3 linked regions of the Anolis sagrei genome follow. The protein of the gene in region 3 interacts with the protein of the main gene of each other region in a pairwise test. Links are inferred from orthologs where the notes say so. Each region holds a gene or a part of one and is shown on either strand. Other genes may lie near its edges.

The links.
Region 1: the proteins of RASSF5 (region 3) and MYLIP interact in binary tests that used the Homo sapiens proteins (3 or more experiments, as listed by UniProt). The two-hybrid records come from large-scale screens. The link is inferred for Anolis sagrei from reciprocal best matches to the Homo sapiens genes RASSF5 and MYLIP.
Region 2: the proteins of RASSF5 (region 3) and STK4 interact in binary tests that used the Homo sapiens proteins (3 or more experiments, as listed by UniProt). The link is inferred for Anolis sagrei from reciprocal best matches to the Homo sapiens genes RASSF5 and STK4.

The regions. Positions count from the first base shown.
Region 1 is NC_090024.1:81,175,921-81,183,685, forward strand, and holds the start of MYLIP (E3 ubiquitin-protein ligase MYLIP), read left to right. Parts: upstream 1-4,694; 5' UTR 4,695-4,836; coding exon 4,837-4,923; intron 4,924-7,127; coding exon 7,128-7,318; intron 7,319-7,765. UniProt on the Homo sapiens protein: E3 ubiquitin-protein ligase that mediates ubiquitination and subsequent proteasomal degradation of myosin regulatory light chain (MRLC), LDLR, VLDLR and LRP8. Activity depends on E2 enzymes of the UBE2D family.
Region 2 is NC_090024.1:217,653,606-217,661,818, reverse strand, and holds the start of STK4 (serine/threonine-protein kinase 4), read left to right. Parts: upstream 1-4,949; 5' UTR 4,950-5,127; coding exon 5,128-5,159; intron 5,160-8,213. UniProt on the Homo sapiens protein: Stress-activated, pro-apoptotic kinase which, following caspase-cleavage, enters the nucleus and induces chromatin condensation followed by internucleosomal DNA fragmentation.
Region 3 is NC_090024.1:195,607,505-195,615,117, forward strand, and holds the start of RASSF5 (ras association domain-containing protein 5), read left to right. Parts: upstream 1-4,385; 5' UTR 4,386-4,530; coding exon 4,531-5,155; intron 5,156-7,613. UniProt on the Homo sapiens protein: Potential tumor suppressor. Seems to be involved in lymphocyte adhesion by linking RAP1A activation upon T-cell receptor or chemokine stimulation to integrin activation.

The sequences.
Region 1 (7,765 bases), about 110 Mb from region 3:
TAGCCTGAAGAAGAGAAGGCTGAGAGGAGATATGATAGCCATGTATAAATATGTGAGAGGAAGCCACAGGGAGGAGGGAGCAAGCTTGTTTTCTGCTTCCTTGGAGACTAGGACGCGGAACAATGGCTTCAAACTACAAGAGAGGAGATTCCATCTGAACATTAGGAAGAACTTCCTGACTGTGAGAGCCGTTCAGCAGTGGAACTCTCTGCCCTGGAGTGTGGTGGAGGCTCCTTCTTTGGAAGCTTTTAAGCAGAGGCTGGATGGCCATTTGTCAGGGGTGATTTGAATGCAATATTCCTGCTTCTTGGCAGGGGGTTGGACTGGATGGCCCATGAGGTCTCTTCCAACTCTTTGATTCTACGATTCTATGATTCTATGATTCTATGAACTGAGTTATCTGAGTCCACACTGCCATATATTCCAGTTCAAAGAAGATAATGTGGGATTTTATTCAGCTGTGTGGAAGGGGCCTTAGGTTCTGTTGATCAATGAGCTATTGACATTCTCTACCATCACATTTCACAGAAAACTGCCATATAATCCAGTTCAAAAATAATCTGGATTTTATATGGCAGTGTAGAAAGGGCCTCAGAAGGCACCTACAAGGATCTATCCAGAAGTGTCTACATTTGAAGAGCAAATCATCTTATAATACTAGGTAAAGGTAAAGGTTTTCCCCTAACATTTAGTTTGCCTGTGTCCGACTCTGTGGGTTGGTGCTCATCTCCATTTCTAAGACAAAGAGCCAGCGTTGTCCATAGACGCCTCCAAGGTCATGTGGCCAGCATGACTGCATGGAGTGCTGTTACCTTCTCGCAAAAGTGGCAGCTATAGATCTACTCACATTTGCATGTTTTCAAACTGCTAAGTTGGCAGAAGCTGGGACTAACAGCAGGAGCTCACTCCGTTCCCCGGATTCGAACCACCAACCTTTTGGTCAACAAGTTCAGCAGCTCAGTGGTTTAATCCGCTGAGCTTATAACGCTGGATACATGCATTTTGGTGCTTCAAATGTTAGCCCTGCTTTTGGGTATATTTGACCTGCTGATTTCAAAAATGGCACTAGTTTTCCTCTGTCAGCTCTAGTTTTTGAGATATAGAACATATGCCATCTACCAGTTGCCATCTGCTCACCCATAGAAAATCATGATAACCATTTCTAAGAAACTAGAGCAGATACAGTCTATCCAATGCAATTTTCTGAATCAACACCCCAAATAACCCCAAGAACAGGCTTAAAAGCCACAACACAAATATTTTTTTGTTGGGCTGTGTTTGTGTGTCAAAGTAAGCTCACGATAGAGCAGGGATGAGCAAACTTTGGCCCTCCAGGTGTTTTGGACTCCAACTCCCACAATTCCTAACAGCCTACCGGCTGTTAGGAATTGTGGAAGTTGGAGTCCAAAACACCTGGAGGGCCGAAGTTTGCCCATCCCTGCTCTATTATGAGCTTACTTTGGCACACAAACAGATTGCTTATTATGGTTAAGAAAATGCCAGAGCAATTCAGTATTCTTTGCTTGTGATATTGCAGTGTTATTTGTGACATCATATTGTGAATATATATGTAGAAACCTGCATACAATTCTTTTTTTTTTTGTTTTTTTCCCCCCAAAATGAACAAGGCAAGGATTTCTGTATTGTATACTTTGGCATAATGTTTCCATATTTTAATTGTAATCGTTTCCTGTGTGAATTGTACAGCGAAAAGGCAGAGACAATACAAAGTAATCTATCACAGCCAAAAATACAATCCTGTGTGCTCTTCTCCTGGAATTAAAGTCACTGAAGCTTGTGGGATTTATTTTCAAATAAACATGGATAGAATTACACTAAATCAGCTCTCTACTGAATAGACTCTCCTTTTCCAAGTGTTAACTAGACTTCAAAGAGAAAACGTCTCTCCTTCTGGTACAAACTACCTAATAGAAAGCAAGCAAGGAGATATAGAGAGGAAGGGAACATATGTGTTTGCTATAGATTGGTATTGTTATCAATTGCACTACAAAACATGGTTTTTGTTCCTGAGTTATAAATGTCATTTCCTAATTGGTTCTGTCATAAAAACATGGACAAAGTTTAGTAAACTGCAAAATGTTGTTTTTGTGGGATATCCTGCAGCACATTTTGTCTCAACCAATTCAACATAGGGTTGCTGTGATTTTTTGGGGCTGTATGGCCATGTTCCAGAAGCATTCTCTCCTGACGTTTCACCCAAATCTATGGCAGGCATCCTCAGAGATTGTGAGGTCTGTTGGAAAATGAGGCAAGTGAGGTTTATATATCTGTGGAATAATATCCAGGGTGGGAGAGAGAACTCTTGTCACCTCACTACCCCTGAGGATGCTTGCTGTAGATGCAGGCGAAACGTCAGGAGAGAATGCCTCTAGAACATGGTCATATAGCCTGAAAAAACCTACAACTATCCAACTCTCATCTGTTTGAGGCAAGTGGGAATGCTGCAATAGGCCACCTTGAGTGGCATAGAATGGCCTTGCAGCTTCAAAGCCTGGCTGATTCCCACCCTGGACATTCCACAGATATATAAACCTCAAAATCACAGCAAACAAGAGTTAACTCCCTTTAAAAAAAAAATCAGTCATTATGCGATGTGTAGTTTGGTGAGCACAAATACTAAGAAGGCTAAGGTCCTTGTAAAACTACAACTCCCAGCATTCCATAGCATTGAGACATGGTAGTTAAAGTGGTGCCAAACTGCATTAATTCTACAGTGTACTGTAGATCCATTCTATGACCTGGAAAGAAAAAAAAAAGGAAGCCCACTTATTCACAGAGCCTCCATAAGTCAAAGCTAACTTGAGGGCTATGAAGTCCAGCAACAACTGATTGCCCCTGGTTGCCTGATTATTTGCCTCTCTAAACTTATTTAGGTGATCCCTCGTAGTCAGAGGATGATGGTCCTCCAAGTGATGTGTCTTGACGGTGGGTTCGTAAATGGCTATGGAACCCAATTCTTGATCCGCTTTTTCTCCCGCAGTGGGGACATCGGTTTACAGGTGGAAAGCTGTCCTGGTCAGGGTTGGCTTGGCGCACCTACCTCTTGGAACGTTTCTCCCTTTTGCACTCCATTCATGCCTCTTCGAATTCTGCAGCATTGTTGGACACAGCTGACCTCCAGTTAGAGCGCTCAAGGGCCAGGGTTTCCAGGTTCTTGATGTCTATGCCACAATTTTAAAGGTTGGCTTTGAGCCTCTCTAATTTATTTATTTATTTACAACATTTATATGCTACTCTTCTCACCTCGAAGGGGACTCAGAGCGGCTTACAAGATATATATACATACAATATATTATATTATTAGCATAGCATAATATCAGTATTATATATTACTATATTGTACTATATTATTATATTGTAAAATATATAATAATATAAAACTTTATACCCCGCCACCATCTCCCCAAGGGGACTCGAGGCGGCTTACGTGAGGCCAAGCCCAACAACACATCAGTAAACAACAAAGCAGCAAGCAAATAAAACAGTACAATTAATATAACTTACATATAAGCAATAACACACAAACATTTTAAAATCTTAAGGCCGGGCCAGATGTAATAGATTAAAATTTTAAAATAAACACTGGGCGTGAGCAGAGATAGGATGTATCTAAGTAGGATATATATATAAAATACATAATTATAATATTGTATTATTATTAGTGGTAGTAGTTTTATATTGTATTATAAATTATTATTAGTATTATATTGTATTATAAATTACAAATGTATTATCTAAAAATCCCCCTATGCCACTTTTAAGCCACAAGGTATGTGTATCCGTGTTCAAATCATTCTGTTTCCAGCTAGCACCTCCCAACAAAGGATTCCCTCAGGCAGCAGCCAGGCAGGCTTTGAAGCTGCAGGGCCATTAAATGCTAATCAAGCTGGCCATCTGCAACATTCACACTTGCCTCAAGCAGACAAGAGTTCTTTGGGTTGCTGTAGGTTTTTTCAGGCTATATGGCCATGTTCTAGAGGCATTCTCTCCTGACATTTCGCCTGCATCTATGGCAAGCATCCTCAGAGGTAGTGAGGTCTGTTGGAACTAGGAAAAAGGGTTTATATATCTGTGGAATGACCAGGATGGGACAAAGGACTCTTGTCTGTTGGAGCTAGGCGTGAATGTTTCAACTGACCACCTTGATTAGCATTTGATGGCCTAGCAGTGCCTGGGGCAATCTTTTGTTGAGAGGTATTTGATGTCCTTGTTTTTTCCTCTCTGTTGTTTTGCTGTTGTAATTTTAGAGTTCTTTCCCTAGACATTCCTCAGATATGTAAACATCACTTTCCTAGTTTCCAACAGACCCCTCAACCTCTAAGGATGCCTGCCATAGAAGTGGGCGAAACATCAGGAGAGAATGCTTCTGGAACATGGCCTCACTGGCCGGAAAACTCACAGCAACCCACTCTGTTTCCTATTACCTTGCCCCGCACTATGTATTGCACACAGGAACCGGAAGTTTATGCACCCAGTTGTGTGGGCACCCTTGAGCCCTTTGACAACAACATGTCTTTCTCAGTCCGCCAAACCCGCCCTCCCGGCAAGCACCGCTTTGGATTGGTCGGGAAGGCTGCATGTAAAAACAGAAACGCGCCCGTCTATTGGTTATATCCCATCGAGGGTGGGGCTTAATCGAAGTGGGCGGGGCGACCGAGGTGATATATAAGACCGGGAACTGCTTTTGGCTTCAGAGCAGGGAAAGGTCTGACGCGTGGAGGTTGAGGGAGGTCTAGGGCTGGGGGCTCTTCAGTGTGCGTCGTGGCCGACGAGGAGGAGAAGACGGTATCCGCAGCAGCAGCAGCAACGGCGGCCATGCTGTGCTATGTGACTAAGCCGGACGCTGTCGTGATGGAGGTGGAAGTGGAGGCCAAAGCCAACGGCGAAGACTGCCTCGACCAGGTGAAGAAGAGTCGCGCGGGTCTCTCTCTCTATCTCTCAATCGGCCGTTGAGCCTGGATTGGCCTCGCGCGCGCTCTCTGTCTCTCTCGCGCGCACGCTCTCTCTACTCCTCCCCCCCCTTCCCGACAGAAGTCGGAAGGGCATTCTATCCATCTGCGTCCCCTCCCCCCGGTGCTACTGCCGTCGCGCGCCAAGGGCTTCAAGCAGGCGCGCGCTCCTATAGCCAGGCGTTGCGTTGCTTTGCGCCGCCGGCGGGGGGGGGGGGGTGAAGTGGAAGGGAGATGTAACAGCCTGCGGCCCGGCTGCTCCCATAACCTCCCACGCGTCACTCACGCTGAGCCGCCTTGCTTGTAGTGTGGAGGGAAAGCCCCACAACCACCCCCGGGCCCACTTTGAACCTCATCCGCCGCCTGGCCCTTTGCCACTGAAGGACTATATATCAGCCCCTGAAGTCGAGAGAGAAATGTCACAACCCCCAGAGAATGTGGTCGCCATGTGTGATGTGGCCTAGTGGGTTGAGCGTTGGGCTTAGGGTGCATTCACACTGTGTAGAACAGCCAGGGGCAAACTTGGGCCCTCCAGAGGTTTTGGACTTCAACTCCCACCATTCCTAACAGCCGGTAGGCTGTTAGGAATGGTGGGAGTTGGAGTTCAAAACCCCTGGAGGGCCCAAGTTTGCCCATGAATGCTGTTTGACTCTGAACTGGGTTCTGAGAGTTGTAGTTTCATCACAAGTTCTCGAGCCGGCATGCTGTTAGGAATTGTGAGAGTTGAAGTCCAAAACACCTGGAGGGCCCAAGTTTGCCCTTAGGGTGCATTCACACTGTGTAGAACAGCCATGAGAAAACTTGGGCCCTCCAGGTGTTTTGGACTCCCAACTCCCACCATTCCTAACAGCAGGTGTTTTGGACTTCAACTCCTACCATTCCTAACAGCCAAGTTTGCCCCTGGCTGCTGTAGAATGAATTCTGTTTGATTTGAACTGGGTTCTGGTAGTTGTAGCTTCATCACAAGGTCTCGATCCATCTTTGCAGACTCTCATGATCTCATAGCATCCAGCCCTGGCACCTGAAGTGGCCTCACACCATATTTGCTCTTACAGCTTTAGAGGAGAGCGAATTCTCACTGCCTGGATAACCTTAGATGGGTCACACATTCTCAGCCTCTGAGGAAGGGCACCACACAAACCCTTCTGAATGTATCTTGGCAAAAAAATACCCCATGATGCTAACATTTGATTTCAATGTGAGCGGGAACACAGAGCAGCGTTGTGGTCTGTGTATTTTGGACTGTGATTCTGGAGACCTGGGTTTGAATCCCCACTTGGCCCTGGAAACTAATCGTGCGACCTTGGGAAAGTCATACTTTTTCAGTCTCGGAGAAAGCTCACTCTGAACAATTCTTACCAAGAAAATCCCGTGACAGATTAGTCAGAAAGGGCAGGAAGGCGCACAACAACAATGGAGACGCGTGAAAGGGGAAACATGTGGATGCTTTCATTGCCTCGACATGTCCCTCCTTTGTGGGTATACAGAAGTCCTTGGGTCCAATTGCATTCATTATCTAGGGCCCTTTGTTCCATGTTTTTATCTTTTTCATAGAATCATGGAGTTGGAAGAGACCACAAGGGCCATCCAGTCCAACCTCCTGCTATGCAGGGACATATAATAAAGCAGTGGTTCTCAACCTATGGGTCTCCAGGTGTTTTGGCCTACAACTCCCAGAAATTCCAGCCAGTTTACTAGTTGTTAGGATTTCTGGGAGTTGAAGGCCAAAACATTTGGGGACCCACAGGTTGAGAACCACTGTAAGGATTCCTGACAGGTGGCCATCCAGCCTCTGCTTTAAAACCTCGAGAGAACTCAATCACATTTCCAGGCAGAATATTCCACTTTGTCAATTTAGTAAAAGCTCCAAGTGTGTGTTCCCGTCTTTGTTTTGATATTTGCAGTATGTTGGATAATATTGAAGGGCAAGTTGGTTCTTGCTGAATGCTTGAGGTATATAAGGTTGATTTTCGTTGAACACTCCCAAGAATAATTCTGGTTTTGTTTTGGGGGAGTTTGATGTCCTATTGGAGTGATACTGTTTCCATTGGTATGGTTACAACTCCACCAAGTGGGGTCTCGATTGGTTTCTCACACTGGACCTGGTTGACAATCATTGGGCCAACTTCTATAATGTTTCATTTTTTTTATTCCCAGGTTTGCAGGCGATTGGGAATTATAGAGGTTGACTACTTCGGACTCCAGTTCACAGGGAGCAAAGGCGAGAATTTGTGGCTAAATCTACGAAACAGAATATCCCAGCAGATGGACGGTCTGCCTCCTTATAGATTGAAGCTGCGTGTCAAGTTTTTTGTGGAGCCACATCTCATCTTGCAAGAACAAACAAGGTAAGGGAAAAATAGTTGGTAGTAAACTTGTTTGTTGCCTGTAAAGCCTTTCTGATTTGTCAGTTGCACAGTGTTACTTGAGTTTGTGATTCTAAAATATGCCCATAGCATTTAATTAGAACTTCTGGATTTATTATGAATATATTTTCATAGAGAAAAAGCCTGTTCTAACACACAGTATTAACATAAGGGGAACTGCCAATGACTCATCTAATTATAGAAGCATTTCCACAAGTCAAGTGGAAGAAGCAAAGTATTGGCTCAGATGCCCGATAGTAACCTCTTAGCAGTGTTATTACAGGGCATTTTTTAAAAGTTCACAGCAGGAAACTGTCCCTCCAGTGTTTCAACTTGCAGAACTCCTTCTTTTAGTCTGGTATCATATTACCACAATGTTTCAAACAACTGTGGGCTTACTGCGCACTGCAGAAAGAAGATCACTCATTT
Region 2 (8,213 bases), about 22 Mb from region 3:
AAACATTTTAAAATTCATTTATATCCTGCTTTTAGCCCCCGGTAGCGCAATGGGTTAAACCCTTGTGCTGACCGAAAGGTTTGCAGTTCGAATCCAGGGAGCGGGGTAACTCCGGTCTGTCAGCTCTAGCTTCTCATGTGGGGACATGAGAGAAGCCTCCCACAGAATGATAACACATCCAGGCATCCCCTGTGCAACGTCCTTGCAGACAGCCAATTTTCTCACACCAGAAGCGACTTGAAGTTTCTCAAGTTGCTCCTGACACAAAGTAAAAATCCTGATAATGGGACCTGGCTAACAACATATTTAGAACAATACAAATTAAAATCTGGACAAAAGCTAAGATAAAAATATATAAAATTTATTCAATCATTTTTATTATTTAAACTAATAAAAGTATTAAAACTTGTGAGATTGTAGCTCTCCCTCCTCCCTCACCATTGCATTTGCTGTCTAGGACTGATAGTTGTAGGTCAGCAATTTAATTAAAAGCATTTATTATATGGTTGTGAGGCAGTTCTCATTTCCTGGTATATACAGGTGGCAAACGTATGTGACTACAAATGTAATTTTTGTACCACGTGCATAGCTTGTAAGTGGCATGGACCAGGAAGCAAAAGACTTAGGTTATATATTCCAAAGTGTATAATTTAGGAACAAGCCTCAGGATCATATTGGATTTTTAAAGTGTATTATTATTTATAATAATAATACTTTATTTGTAGACTGCCCTATCTCCCTGAGGGGACTCAGGGTGGTTCCCATCCAGACCTCTGGCAGGATAGGTTTGTAGCCATTGTGGTAATGAGATTTGCCAACAAACAGCCTGCAGACTGGCCCTCAAACAAAATCAATTTCTCTCCAAAACACAAGGCTGGTTTTAATTTTAATTCCTAACTATGGTTTGTCATCATAGAAACACTGAGGAATAGGCTCTTTTGCTTAACTGCATTTTGCAGTGCTGCTAAAATTAAAAAAAAATGTGGTTGATGTTAGCAATAGAAGTAATCTACTCTCAGATCATAAATCCGAATGGTTGCACTACTATAGTTCAAATGACACCCTAAATGGTGATGTACATAACATGAAACTAGAAAAGCTTATGATTTCCTTATAGCAGTGATGCAAGCAAGCCTAGAAGATAGTCAGTTTTGAAATGCAAAAACATTTAGTGTTATGTCAAGACACAACTGGGGAATGCCAAAGAGCTAGTACCACTCAGATACCTAGGATGCACCAGGGTAACTAACAGAAAATATTTCTGTTTTTGACAGCTTGGGACCTGTACTTTCAGTGATCCCTTTTCTACTATGGATGGACTCAACACTGACATTTAGACTGCATTTTTTCACATAATATCATGACTTAATTACACTTACAAGCATTCATCTAAAGATTACTAAGGAGTAGTATAGATATGTACTTGCAGACATGGTATGAGTTATATTAACACCAAATATTTTATCACACTCAATGCAAATCCACCATATTTATTTATTTATTTATTTTATTAATCAATTTTAAACTCCCCGAAGGCTCGGAGCAGTCTATAAAATCTATATAAATAAAAATGTAATGTCCGTTTGTGGGATTAACAGAACTCAAAAACCACTGGATGAATTGACACCAAATTTGGACACAAGACACCTAACAACTCAGTGTATGTCCTTCACCCCCCCCCCCCAAAAGATTTTGTCATTTGGGACTTGTAGTTGGTGGGATTTATAGTTCAATCAAAGCATTCTGAACCCCACCAATGATGGAATTGAACCAGACTTGGTACACAGTTTTCCCATGACCAACAGAAAATACTGGAAGGGTTTGGTGGGCAGTGTCCTTTGGTTTTGGAGTTGTAGTTCACCTACATCCAGAGATCACTGTGGACTCAAACAATGATGGATCTGGACCAAACTCTTCACGAATACTCAATATGCCCAAATGTGAATACTAGTGGAGTTTGGGGAAAATAGAATCTTGACATTTGGGAGTTATAGTTTATGGGATTTACAGTTCACCTACAATCACAGAGCATTCTGAACCCCACCAACGATAGAATTGGGACAAACTTCCCACACAGAACCCCATGACCACCAGAGTGGGCCACAGCTAGTTGATTAATAAATGTGAAGAAAGCTAGAAAATGTCACAGTAAAATGTATTTCTCCAACAACCATAATCATTTGCAACCACCAACTATGCAATAATAATAATAATAATAATAATAATAATAATAATAATAATAATAATAATAATTTACCACCCTATCTTCCTGAGGGAGCACAGGGCGGTTCCCATCCAGACCTCTGCAACGCATGGCAGGGGGTGGCTAGTTGGATAATAAAACTATAACTATAACAAAATCAATAAAAACATGAACATTAGTGTCTCCTATTAAAAAACATTGTTCAATCACATCGTCCAACCATTCCATTTTCCTATGTCTATTACACTATATTTGGAAATGCCTGCTCAAAGAGCCAAGTCTTGACTCTCTTTCGAAATGTTAAAAGGAAGGGGACCGATCTGATATCCTTAGGGAGGGCATTCCATAACCGAGGGGCCACCACTGAGAAGGCCCTGTCTCTCGTTCACGCCAGACGTACTTGTGACGAAGGCGGGACCGAGAGCAGTGCCTCCCCAGACAATCTTAAAGTCCTGGAGGGTTCATAAGATGCGTTCGGACAGGTAAGTTGGGCCAGAACCGTTAACTGTTTTGAACTGGATTCATTATAAGAGTCTACACTGCCCTATAATCCAGTTGAAAGAAGATAAGGCAGGTGTGGGAGGGGGATGGTAACTAGACCCCTATAGATCCTATAATAATTTTCTTCAGCCAGCACCTTAATCACTGACTTGGACATCACCTCAGCCTTGTTGACTTGTAAATGCCTTTTTACTTTTAATATTTTGAGTGTTTGCATTTTCTTGCCCTGATGAAGGGAGTTGGACTGGATGGCCTTAAGTATTTTCTGTTGCTCATGGGGGTTCAGTATGGGAAGTTTGCCCCGATTCTGTCATTCGTGGGTTCAATCAAAGAGCATTCTGAATTCGTGGGTTCAGAATGCTCTTTGATTGTAGGTGAACTGTGAATCCCAGTGACTACAACTCCCAAATGTCAAGGTCTATTTTCCCCATACTCCATCTGTGTTAATATTTGGGCGTATTGAGTGGTTGTGCCAAGTTTGGTCCAGATCCATCATTATTTGAGTGTACAGTGCTCTCTGGATGTAGGTGAACTACAACTCCCAAACTCAAGGTCAATGCCCACCAAGAACCCTTCCAGTATTTTCTATTGGTCAAGGGAGTCCTGTGTGCCAAGTTTGGTTCAGTTCATTCATTGAACTCCCAAATGACAAAAGCATAATTTTTTGAGTGATGGTCACTCCTTGTCTTGTGAGATGTTTTGTTGCCAAAATTTGGTGTGATTTCGTCCATTGGTTCTTTTGTTTTTAAGGTACTCATTATGCACAGAGCATTTATATATATATAGGTTCTTGCGGGTTTTTTCGGGCTATAGGGCCATGTTCTAGAGGCATTTCTCCTGACGTTTTGCCTGCATCTATGGCAAGCATCCTCAGAGGTAGTGCGGTCTGTTGGAAATAGGAAAATGGGTTTATATATCTGTGTAATGGCTGGGGTGGGGCAAAGAGCTCTTCTCTGCTAGAGCTAGGTGTGAATGTTTCAACTGACCACCTTCATTATCATTTGAAGGCCTGCCTGAGCCTGGGAAAATCTCTTGTTGAGAGGTGTTAAGATGTGCCTGGTTGTTTTCTCTCTGTTGTTTTGCTGTTGTAATTTTAGAGTTTTTAAATACTGGTAGCCAGATTTTGTTCATTTTCATGGTCTCTTCCTTTCTGTTGAAATTGTCCACATGCTTGTGGATTTCAATGGCTTCTCTGTGTAGTCTGACATGGTACTTGTTAGAGTGGTCCAGCATTTCTGTGTTCTCAAATAATATGCTGTGTCCAGGCTGGTTCATCAGGTGCTCTGCTATGGCTGACTTCTCTGGTTGAAGTAGTCTGCAGTGCCTTTCATGTTCCTTGATGCGTGTCTGGGCGATGCTGCGTTTGGTGGTCCCTATGTAGACTTGTCCACAGCTGCATGGTATATGGTAGACTCCTGCAGAGGTGAGAGGATCCCTCTTGTCCTTTGCTGAACATAGCATTTGTTGGATTTTCTTGGTGGGTTTGTAGATGGTTTGTATGTTATGTTTCCTCATCAGCTTCCCTATGCGGTCAGTGGTTCCCTTGTAATGTAATGTTTGTTTGTGGGATTAACAGAACTCAAAAACCATTGGACGAATTGACACCAAATTTGGACACAAGACACCTAACAACTCAGTGTATGTCCTTCACTCAAAAAAAAAAAAGATTTTGTCATTTGGGACTTGTAGTTGGTGGGATTTATAGTTCAATCAAAGAGCATTCTGAACCCCACCAATGATGGAATTGAACCAGACTTGGCACACAGTTTTCCCATGACCAACAGAAAATACTGGAAGGGTTTGGTGGGCAGTGTCCTTTGGTTTTGGAGTTGTAGTTCACCTACATCCAGAGATCACTGTGGACTCAAACAATGATGGATCTGGACCAAACTCTACACGAATACTCAATATGCCCAAATGTGAATACTGGTGGAGTTTGGGGAAAATAGAATCTTGACACTTGGGAGTTGTAGTTATTTATTATATTATAATCTGGATTCAGAAACTCGGATTATAGGGCAATGTAGATGGGACTTCAGCCAAACTACAGCTCCCACGGCTCCACAGCCTGGGACTGGACTGAACTCAGGCTGCTGCGCGAGCTCGGCCACGCCCATCGAGGGGGCGGGCTTAATCTCCTCCAAGAGTTTGAGGAGGGGGGGGGAAGCAAGCACGTGGTTCGTGCCGCGCGCGGCTCTCTAGCGGGCGGGCTTCGGATTGGCTGTTGCCGGGAAGCGGAAGTGGGCCTGGTGCCTTGGGAGGGCGGGGCTGAGCGAGAGGTTCTTCTCAGAGCCCGGCAGCACGCGCGAAGGGATGGAGCGACGGCGGTGAGTGAAGGAGTGAGTGGTGTGTGCGGCGCCCTTGGCCTCCCTCACAGCCTCTTCCCTCAGTCGGGGGCAGAAGAAGAAGAGGAGGAGGCCGCCATGGAGACCGTGCAGCTGCGCCACCCGCGCCGGTGAGAAGCTCTGGAGGGCTTGAGGGAGGGAGGGAGGAGGCAGCCTCGAAAGGGGGGAAAGGAGGGCGGGGTGGGGCCAGTGCTTGAGGCAAAGGGGAAGGTCGGCTGGGTGTCAAAGGCTTTCTTCTTTCCCCCACTGCCTCCCCGCCCTTCTCAGGCCTTCCTTTTTTCCTCCTCCTTGGGGAATGTATTTCATCCCGATGATGATGATGATGATGATGATGATGATTATTAGTTGTAGTATTTATATCCCGCTTTCTCTCTCTTCAGTGTGACTCAAAAGCAGCTAACAATATTAAAGAATAAAAGTGCACAGATTAAAACAAAAAGGATGTAAACAAATATTTATTTAAAACTAGCGTTGCTGTGTCCAATCTCCCCTTCCCCTTTCTCTCCTTCTCTTTTTTCTTTCCTTTTCTCCTTCTTTCTCTACCTCTCCTTCCTTCCCCTCTCTTTATCTTCCCCTTTTTTCTTTCTGTCTTTCCTTCTTCCTTCCTATTCTTGGACTGCAACTCCCAGCAGTCCTCCTGATCGATCGATCTACCTACCTATCTCTATGTAATAATAATAATAATAATAATAATACTTTATTTGTACCCCGCTACCATCTCCGAACCCGAACACAACAATACAACAATACATGAGGCCGAGCCCGAACACAACAATACAAGCAATTAAAATAAAAACATAAACAATAAACATATCACATTATCAATAAGACAACATACAATTAAAAACTGTGGGAAGGCCAAATGTAAAATTAAAATTGGAAATAGTGCTGAAACATGGGCGAAAAGGTGATAGTGGCGTTTGTGGAAAGACGTGTAATCTATCTATCTTATCTATCTGGAGGATTGCTGAGAGTTTATTTATTTATTTATTTATTTCAAAGTTTTCTATACCGAACTTCTCAATCTCATTGAGGGACTCAGCCCGGTTTCCAACCATAAAAACACATACACTCATTAAAATATCATATATCACAATTACAATAACAAGTTTAAAATAACACTATATATAAAACTACGGTGGTCAGTCGTCATATTAAAATCAGATCTACATCATCTTCCATCCAGAATCCTAGGGTGTTGTCTCATTCATCGAAAGCCTGACTGCACAGCCACGTCTTCACTCGTTTCCTAAGTGTCAGGATAGACGCGGCGGTTCTGACCTCCGGTGGGAGAGAGTTCCAGAGTTGCGGGGCCACCACCGAGAAGGCCCTGTCCCTCGTCCCCACCAGACGCGCTTGAAAGGCCGGTGGGACCGAGAGCAGGGCCTCTCCAGATGATCTTAATAATCTTGATGGTTCGTAGGGGAGAATACGTTCGGAGAGGTAAACAGGAGAGTTGCAGTCCAGGAATACGAAATTGGAAATATGCACTGTATTGTTGTTTAGTTTTTTTTTGGTTTTTAATTTTTTTTTTCCGCTGGCTTTTTTTTTGGGGGGGGGGGGATATGAGTTATGGTCACTCATTGGTCTGTTAAGGGTATAGTGTCCAAATTTTGTGTCAATTCGTCCAGTGGTTTTTCAGCTATGTTAATCCCACAAACTAAAATTACATTTTTATTTATATAGATAACATATATCCTATTATTATTATAATTATTATTATTATTTTTATTAATGAATGCCCTGATTTTTCTGTCTTCAAAATAGCTCAGGAGCAGCTAATAATATTAAAAAATAAAATGCACAAAATTAAAACCAGAAAGATGTAAACAAATGTTTATCTCAAAATATATACTCTGTTTAATATTATTTATATCCCACTTTTTCTGTCTTCAAAATGATTCAAAAGCAGCTAACACTGTTAAAAAATAAAAATGCACAAATTAAAACCAAAAGGATATAAACAAATATTTATTTTTTAAAAATATTAGTATTTATTATCTCCTTTTTCTGTCTTCAAAATAACGCAAAGCAGCTAACAACATTAAAAAATAAAAATGCACAAATTAAAAACAAAAAGATGTAAACAAATATTTATCTAAAAACATGTACCCTTCTTCTTCATATTCCCCTTTTTCTCTACAAAAGAGACTCAAAGCGGCTTCAGTAAAACAAATGCAATACAATTTAAAACCTAAAAATATACAAACTTTAAAATCTTTGCATTTGCTCCGCTTGCCCTTCTTTGTCAAGCATCTCAGGAGAAATTTTGTCATCCAAGAACATAAACTTCCCTTTACGGCACTCCATGAGTGGTTTAACTGCCATGGTTCAATGCTGTAGGAACATGGGGATTGTAGTTTTACAAGATCTTAAGCCTTTTCTATCAAAGAGGTTTTATGTCTCACCATACTATAGGTACCACAGGTCCATAGCAATGAGCCAAGGCAGTCAAAGTTTCAAACTGCATTAGTTTTGCAATGTGGATGCAGCCTTGGAGGTTATCAGATGGAGATGAGATTCCCAGTGGGTATAAATAGTGGAATACTTTCTATTTGATGGGGGAAGAAGATTTCTTTTTACGTCTTCCGTACATGTATACACTCTTTAAAAATAATACTTTTTTTTACCCACAGCTTCTCAAGTCATGGTACAACATAGTTAAAATACACAGATAAAAATATAAGCCCATTTAAAATGTGTAGGTTAAAGCACATTAAAATTATTCATATTAATAAAATGTCAGCTTTCTTCACGGTGGATTTGGATTGAGTGTGATCAAGTCTTCGGTGTTAATATAACTCATACCATGTCTGCATGTACATATTTGTACTATCATCCATGGTAGAAAAAGTTTCACTGAAAGTACAGGTCCCAAGTTGTCAAAACTGAAATATTTTCTGTTAGTTACCCTGGTGCAGCCTAGATATCTGAGTGGTACAGAGCTCTTTGACTGGTTGGTGCTCCCCAGTTGTGTTTGGACATAACACTGAGGGCCCTTCCACACAGCCATATATCCCAGAATATCCAGACAGAAATTCAGATAACCCAGTTCCAAGCAGATATTGTGGGATTTTCTGCCTTGATATTCTGGGATATAGATCTGCGTGGAAGGGCCCTAAAGCTTTTCTTATATTTCCTATTAATTCACCATTTAGGGTGTC
Region 3 (7,613 bases):
TGGAACACTGTATGTGCCAGGTTCAGTATAAAATAAGCAATATTGCTGCTGTTTAATTACAAGTTTGATTTAATTCTGCAAATTGTTTACACCTTTGCTGTTTATATTTACAGTGTTTATTTCTAATTGGCTCCATAGATCCCAAGGAAGTGGTGTATAGGCTTTACTGACTTAGGCTATATCCACACTACATAATTATAGCAGTTTTACATCATGTTAACTGCCATGACTCAATGCTATGGAATTTTTGTGTAGTTTTGTGAGATGTTTACCTTTTTCTGTCAGAGAGCTTTAGTGCCACAAAAAGCTGCAAATTCCAGGATTCTATTGGATCGACCCATGGAAGGTAAAGTGGTATCAGACAGCTGCAATTCTCCAATGTGGTTAGTCTTTTAGTCATTTTGTCTGAATTATAGAGTTGGAAGAGACCTCATGGGCCATCCAGTCAACCCCCTGCCAAGAAACAGGAAAATCGAATTCAAAGCACACCTGACAGGTGGTATTCAACCTCTGTTTGAAAGTCTCCAAAGAAGGAGCTTCCACTACACTCTGAGGCAGAGAGTTCCACTGCTGAACAGTTCTCACAGGAAGTTTTTCCTAATGTTCAGGTGGTATCTCCTTTCCTGTAGTTTGAAGCCATTGTTCCGCATCCTAGTCTCCAGGGCAGCAGAAAGTCAAGGATGCTCTTTTCATTGAAAGACAATTGGCTCTTGGTACTCATAGATTTAGCCACTGACAGCTTGATTTTTTTTTAAACAAACTTTCATGTAAGGGACACCATTTACTATGCCATTGTATATAACAAGACTTGCGTTTCCATGGATTTTGGTAACCATGGAAGGTCCTAGTACCAATTCCCAGCAAATATCAAAAGCCCACTGTATCTTCTGCTATAATGCAAAACATGGGGATAATCTTAGTGTGCAAATGATATTCATTAACCTTACAAAAAGACCATTTCTGGTGGTGGGAGATTGATCGAAATAGTTTGTTGTTATGCATAGATATAACTGCCTGCACTATTAGGTCATAAGGAGCACCTGCATTTCAAAAATTACCATTAAGCCACTGGGTTGTCTTTGTACTATGAGAGAAGATAATGGAAAACATGAAAAGAAACCAGACCTTGGTGGAAACTTACTGCACATAGAACATGCTGCAAAGAATGGAGCCTTTTCTCCCAGGGCATGAAACTCCTGAGAGATCTAACCTCACTATGCCTGTCTGTACACAGCTTAATGGGTTTTCTGCCCCTAGTGCCAAAGATGTACAAAGCCAAGACGGCTTGGTGTATTTTCGTGAGGCTTTCTGTCTCTTTATCCAGCTGATGAAGCCTCCTCTAAAGTCCTTGAATCTGGTTTAATGAGAGCCCATCTACCTTTGTGAAGGAAAGAGGGAGCATTTCATTTATTGTAGAAGAAAGGGATGGGCACATAATACAATTCCTGCACTGCTCCAGGAGGCTTTTATTATTTTTTTCTGGATGAGAAAATGTCTTTTACAGATGCAGAAAAATACTTACACTGGAAGGACGTTGGAATAATTGACCTTCAGAGGTCCTTTTCAACTCCAATTCTATGACTCTCTTCTGTTATTATCATTCACATACTTTTTATGTTTTTTCAATTCTATCCCTTGTAATTTGGCCCAGACTGCTGTGCACATTTCTATTATTTTATTTCATTACCTGTGTTTGACTTTGTATTACCTTGTTTTGTCTACATTTTATTTCATGTTTATTATTTGCAGCATGTATTTTATTTTGATCTGTTGTAATTGTTGGGCTTGGCCTCATGTTAGCCACTCCAAGTCCCCTTTGGGGAGATGGTGGTGGGATAATAATAATAATAATAATAATTATTATTATTATTATTATTATTATTATTAACACAACAAGATGAGTCCACAGCAGACACTCTGCTGGCTGTTGTATTAGATCATGCATCGGACACTTCCCAAGTGTCTAGGACTGTGTGATTTATCAGCGAATAATGCATGCAGATCCCAGTATGGTGGCCTTCTGCAGCTGGCAAATGGTAATATTGTCAGCGCTGATTGTGTTTAAGTGCAGGCCAAGGTCTTTAGGCACTGCATCCAGTGTGCCAATCATCATTGGGACCACCTTGACTGGTTTGTGCCAGAGTCTTTGCAGTTTGAGCTTTAAATCCTCATATTGTGTCAGCTTTTCCAGTTGTTTCTCTTCAATCCTGCTGTCACCTGGGTTTGCAACATTGACAATCCATACTTTGTTTTTTAACATGATCATGAGGTCAGGAGTGAGGTGCTCCAAAACTCTGTCTGTCTGAATTCAGAAGTCCCAGAGGAGTTTGATGTGTTCATTTTCTGTAATTTTTTCCGGCTTGTGATCCCACCAGTTCTTTGTTGCAGGCAGATGGTATTTGCGGCACAACTTGTTATTATTATTATTATTGTTGTTGTTGTTATTGTTATTATTATGTTATTGTTTGCCTTGAGGTCTTTTTTGACCTAGGGGTGCATCTACACAAGAGAATTAATGCATGCAGTTTGACACCCCTGTAGCTACCACAATTCACTACTATAGAATTATAGAAGTTGTAGTCGTACTCCAATGCTCAAACATAGGCTCCTATTTATTATTAGTTTTTACCAATCCATCAAAAAGCCCTGGAAACCTTCCCTTCCTCCAGGACTAAAAAAGAAAAAAAAACCTTGGGTATATTATCTTGGTCAATGGCCAGCAATGAAAAAACACAATATAGAATAAGGAAAACATAAAGTAAGGCAATAAAATGTCAGTATTTGAACTAGAGCAAAGAAACAATGTGAAATAGAAAAAGTTAAAAACCAATGATGAATAAGCCTTTGACAACACAATGACAACACAATACTGTACTCTCAGGGCTCTTCCACTGAGGGCCCTTTCATACAGCCCTATATCCCAGAATATCAAGGCAGAAAATCCTACAATATTTGCTTTGAATTGGGGTATCTGAGTCCACACTCAGATAATGTGGGATTTCCTGCCTTGATATTCTGGGATATTAGGCTGTGTGGAAGGACTCACAATCATATAACTCAGATTATTGAGGCAGAAAATCGCTGAAGACCTTCAGAATATACAATATTTTCTGTTGGCAATGGGGGTTCTGTGTGGGAAGTTTGGCCCAATTCTATCATTGGTGGGGTTCAGAACACCCTTTGATTATAGGTGAACTATAAATCCCAGCAACTACAACCCCTAGATGTCAAGGTCTGTTTTCCCCAAACTCCACCAGTGTTCATATTTGGACATATTGAGTGTTTGTGCCAAGTTTGGTCTAGATCAATCATTGTTTGAGTCCACAGTGCTGTCTATATCTAGGTGAACTCCAACTCCCAAACTCAAAGTCAGTGCCCACCAAGCCCTTCTAACATTTTCTGTTGGTCATGGGAGTTCTGTGTGCCGAGTCTGGTTCAATTCCATCGTTGGTTGAGTTCAGAATGCTCTTTGATTGTAGACGAACTATAAATCCCAGCAACCACAACTCCCAAATGATGACATCAATCTCCCCCAAACCCACCAGTATTCAAATTTGGGCATATTGGGCATTTGTGCCAAATTTGGACCAGTCAATGAAAATCCATCCTGCACAGGCTCGTAGCCAGGATTTTGATTTGCGGGTGGGGGCTGAGTTTGATTGGGGGTGCTGAGGTTGATTTTGGGGAGGGGGGCAGAGGATCTACCCTAGCAAACCTTTGGTATCATTATCCCAATACCCCCATGCCTATGGGATATATTGATCATGGTGATCAGATCATGATATGAATAAACACAACAGTTTAAATAATGTACCAGTAAGGCCTTCTCATGGACCACCCTGAGAATTTCGGGGGGGGGGGGGGCTGAAGCCCATCAAGCCCCCCCCCCCCGGGCTACATGCCTGATCCTGCATATCAGATATTTACATTCATAACAGCAGCAACATTGCAGTTATGAAGTAGCAACAAAAATAATGTTCTGGTGGGGGGTCACTACAACATAAGGAACTGTATTAAGGGGTCAGGGTATTAGGTAGGTTGAGAACTACTGGTTTAACCCATTGCACCACCGGGGACTCCCCCATTCCTGGTTAAAGATAGTCATACCTTTAATCCTTGCACATTAACCAAGCTATTGCTGCTGCACGATGCGTAATAAGCCTCTGAGCATGTGCAGAATGCCTTTCTCCCCAAACTTTGTTGTATTTTTGGTGAGCTAAAGAGGAGTCGGGAGTTGTAGTGCGGAGAAGGATGGAGAAAGACCTGGTGGAAGGACAGCTCCCGGGAGGGGCTCCCTAGAGAGGCAGGAGTGGTGTCAAGGCGCATTAGCCCCGCAGACAGGGGCCCGGCGAGGCCGCGGGGCCTGGCTCCTCCTCCTCCTCCTCTTTTGCAGGTCCCTTTAAGAGCGCCTGCGCTGCCGGCCAGGTCGCTCTCTCGCAGACTCGGAGGAAGGAAAGAAGCAAGGAAGGGCGGGCGGGCGGGCGGCCTCCCTCTCTCTCCCTCTCCGTCTCTCTCTGCTCCTCTGGGGCCATGGCCATGGCTTCTCCGGCCGTGGGGCAGTTCCCCCCGTATCCGCCGCTGCTTCTGGACAAGGAGCAGCAGCGCTTCCTGCAGAGCCTCAGCGCCTCGGAGAGGAAGAAGCTCCGCAAGCGCTCCCTGCCCGCCGGCAATAGCGACCTCCTGCATCCACAGCAGCAGCAGCAGCAGAGGAGGAGGAAGAAGAGGCAGGCCGGGGGGGCCATGGAGGGGGGCGAGGAAGAGGAGGACGAAGGAGAGGAAGGCGCCCAGGAGGAGCAGCAGCAGCAGGAGGAGCAGGACCAGGAGGAGGAGGAGGGAGGACAGGGGCGCAATGCGGAGCCGCCGCGGGGCGCCAACCTGCGCCTCATCCTCGAGCCTCCCGAGGAGCCCTCGCCCGCCAAGCCCGCCTCGCTCCCCTCTCACCCGCACCACCACCACCACCACCAGCGGCTCCGGCTGAAATGCGGGGCTCCACGGCTGCTCCCCGACGTGCGCACCATCTTCGAGCAGCCCCGGGACCCGCGCGTCCGGCCCGAGAAGGGCGAAGGGCACCGCTTCCAAGGCTTCGCCCTCGTCTGGCGCGGGTGGTGCGACCTGTGCGGGAGGGAGGTCCACCAGCGGGGCCTCCGCTGCGCCAGTAAGTGCGCCAAACAGGGGAGCCGGGGGGCGGGCGGGAAAGGGGCAACCCCGTGCAATGCAAGGACCGGCCCTTCCTGGAAAGTTTGGGTGCCCAGGCCCATTGGACACAACCTAAGGGGCTCCCCACACACATCCACACCTGAACTGCCCACCCCACTTCCCTCCTTGCTTCATATCTACTATTCCAGTGTTTCTCAACCCTCCTAATGCATTAACCCCTTAATACAGATCCTTATGTTGTGGTGACCCCCAACCATAACATTATTTTTGTTGCTACTTCGTAACTGTATAATTTTGCTACTGTTATGAATCTTCATGTAAATATCTGATATGCAGGATGTATTTTCTTTCATAGGGCCTAATTTGGTACAAATACTCGCCCAAATTTGAATACCGATGAGGTTGGGATTGATTTTGTCATTTGGGAGTTGTAGTTGCTGGGGTTTATAGTTAATCTTCAATCAAAGAGCATTCTGAACTCCACCAACGATGGAATTGGACCAAACTTGGCACACAGAACTCCCATGACCAACAGAAAATACTGGAAGGATTTGGCAGGCAATTGACCTTGAGTTTTGGAGTTGTAGTTCATCTACACCCAGAGAGCACTGTGGACTCAAACAATGATGGATCTGGACCAAACTTGGCACAAATACTCAATATGCCCAAATGTGAAGTGAACACTGGTGGAGTTTGGGGGAAATAGACCTTGACATTTGGGAGTTGTAGTTACTGGGATTTATAGTTCACCTACAATCAAAGGGCATTCTGAATACCACCAATAATAGAATTGAGCCAAGTTTACCACACAGAACCCCTGTGACCAACAGAAACTACTGTTTTCTGTTGGTCTTTGGTGACCTCCACAGGGGTCCCAACCCCCAGGTTGAGAAACACTGTACTATTCCTTAGATCAGGCCTGGGCGAGCTTGGGCCCTCCTCCAGATGTTTTGGACTTCAACTCTCACCATTCCTAACAGCCTAACAGCCTCCCCCTTAAGCCTCAGCTGCTTAAGGGGGAAAAGGAAAGGGCCTGACGCTGTTAGGAATGGTGGAAGTCCAAAACATCTGGAGGGCTGAAGTTTTCCCATGCATTCCTTAGCTGCACCTCTTATGAAGCACCTCTTGTGCAGCAGCCCAAACCTATAGACTCCTAAGGCACAGAGGAGCATTTTAAGGGGGTGCTTCTTGATTCTTCCGTACTTGGGGGGTAAAGTTTAGCAACATGTTCACCACATGAGCCTCACCTAGCAGAGCAGACACATTGAGAGACCACCAGTGTCTGGAAGCCTTCCTCCATGTGCCACTCATTCCTTTTAAAAGCTAGACACCCTGATAGAAAACAGGTAAGAAAAGCGTAAGCAGCTGAAGGGGGAAAGGAAAGGGCCTGAGGCTGTTAGGAATGATGGGAGTTGAAGTCCAAAACATCTGGAGGGCTGAAGTTTGCCCATGCCTGCCTTATGCACCTCTTATGAAGCAGCCCAAGACATGGTCCTTCAGATTGTTGTTGTTCATTCGTTCAGTCGTCTCCGACTCTTCGTGACCTCATGGACCAGCCTACGCCAGAGCTCCCTGTCGGCCGTTACCACCCCCAGCTCCCTCAAGGTCAGTCCAGTCACTTCAAGGATGCCATCCATCCATCTTGCCCTTGGTCGGCCCCTCTTCCTTTTGCCTTCCACTTTCCCCAGCATAATTGTCTTCTCTAGGCTTTCCTGTCTCCTCATGATGTGGCCAAAGTACTTCAACTTTGTCTCTAGTATCTTTCCCTCCAGTGAGCAGTCGGGCTTTATTTCCTGGAGGATGGACTGGTTGGATCTTCTCGCAGTCCAAGGCACTCTCAGCACTTTCCTCCAACACCACAGCTCAAAAGCATCGATCTTCCTTCGCTCAGCCTTCCCTAAGGTCCAGCTCTCACATCCGTAGGTTACTACAGGGAATACCATGGCTTTGACTAGGCGGATCTTTGTTGCCAGTCTGATGTCTCTACTCTTCACTATTTTATCGAGACTGGACATTGCTCTCCTCCCAAGAAGTAAGCGTCTTCTGATTTCCTGGCTACAGTCTGCATCTGCAGTAATCTTTGCACCTAGAAATACAAAGTCTGTCACGGCCTCCACGGTTTCTCCCTCTATTTTCCAGTTGTCAATCATTCTTGTTGCCATAATCTTGGTTTTTTTGACGTTTAGCTGCAACCCGGCTTTTGCGCTTTCTTCTTTCACCTTGATTAGAAGGCTCCTCAGCTCCTCCTCGCTTTCGGCCATCAGAGTGGTGTCATCTGCATATCTGAGGTTGTTAATGTTTCTTCCAGCAATTTTCACCCCAGCTTTGCATTCATCCAGCCCCGCACATCGCATGATGTGTTCTGCATACAAGTTAAAAAGGTTGGGTGAGAGGATGCAGCCTTGCCGTACGCCTTTCCCAATCTTGAACCAGTCTGTTGTTCCGTGGTCAGTTCT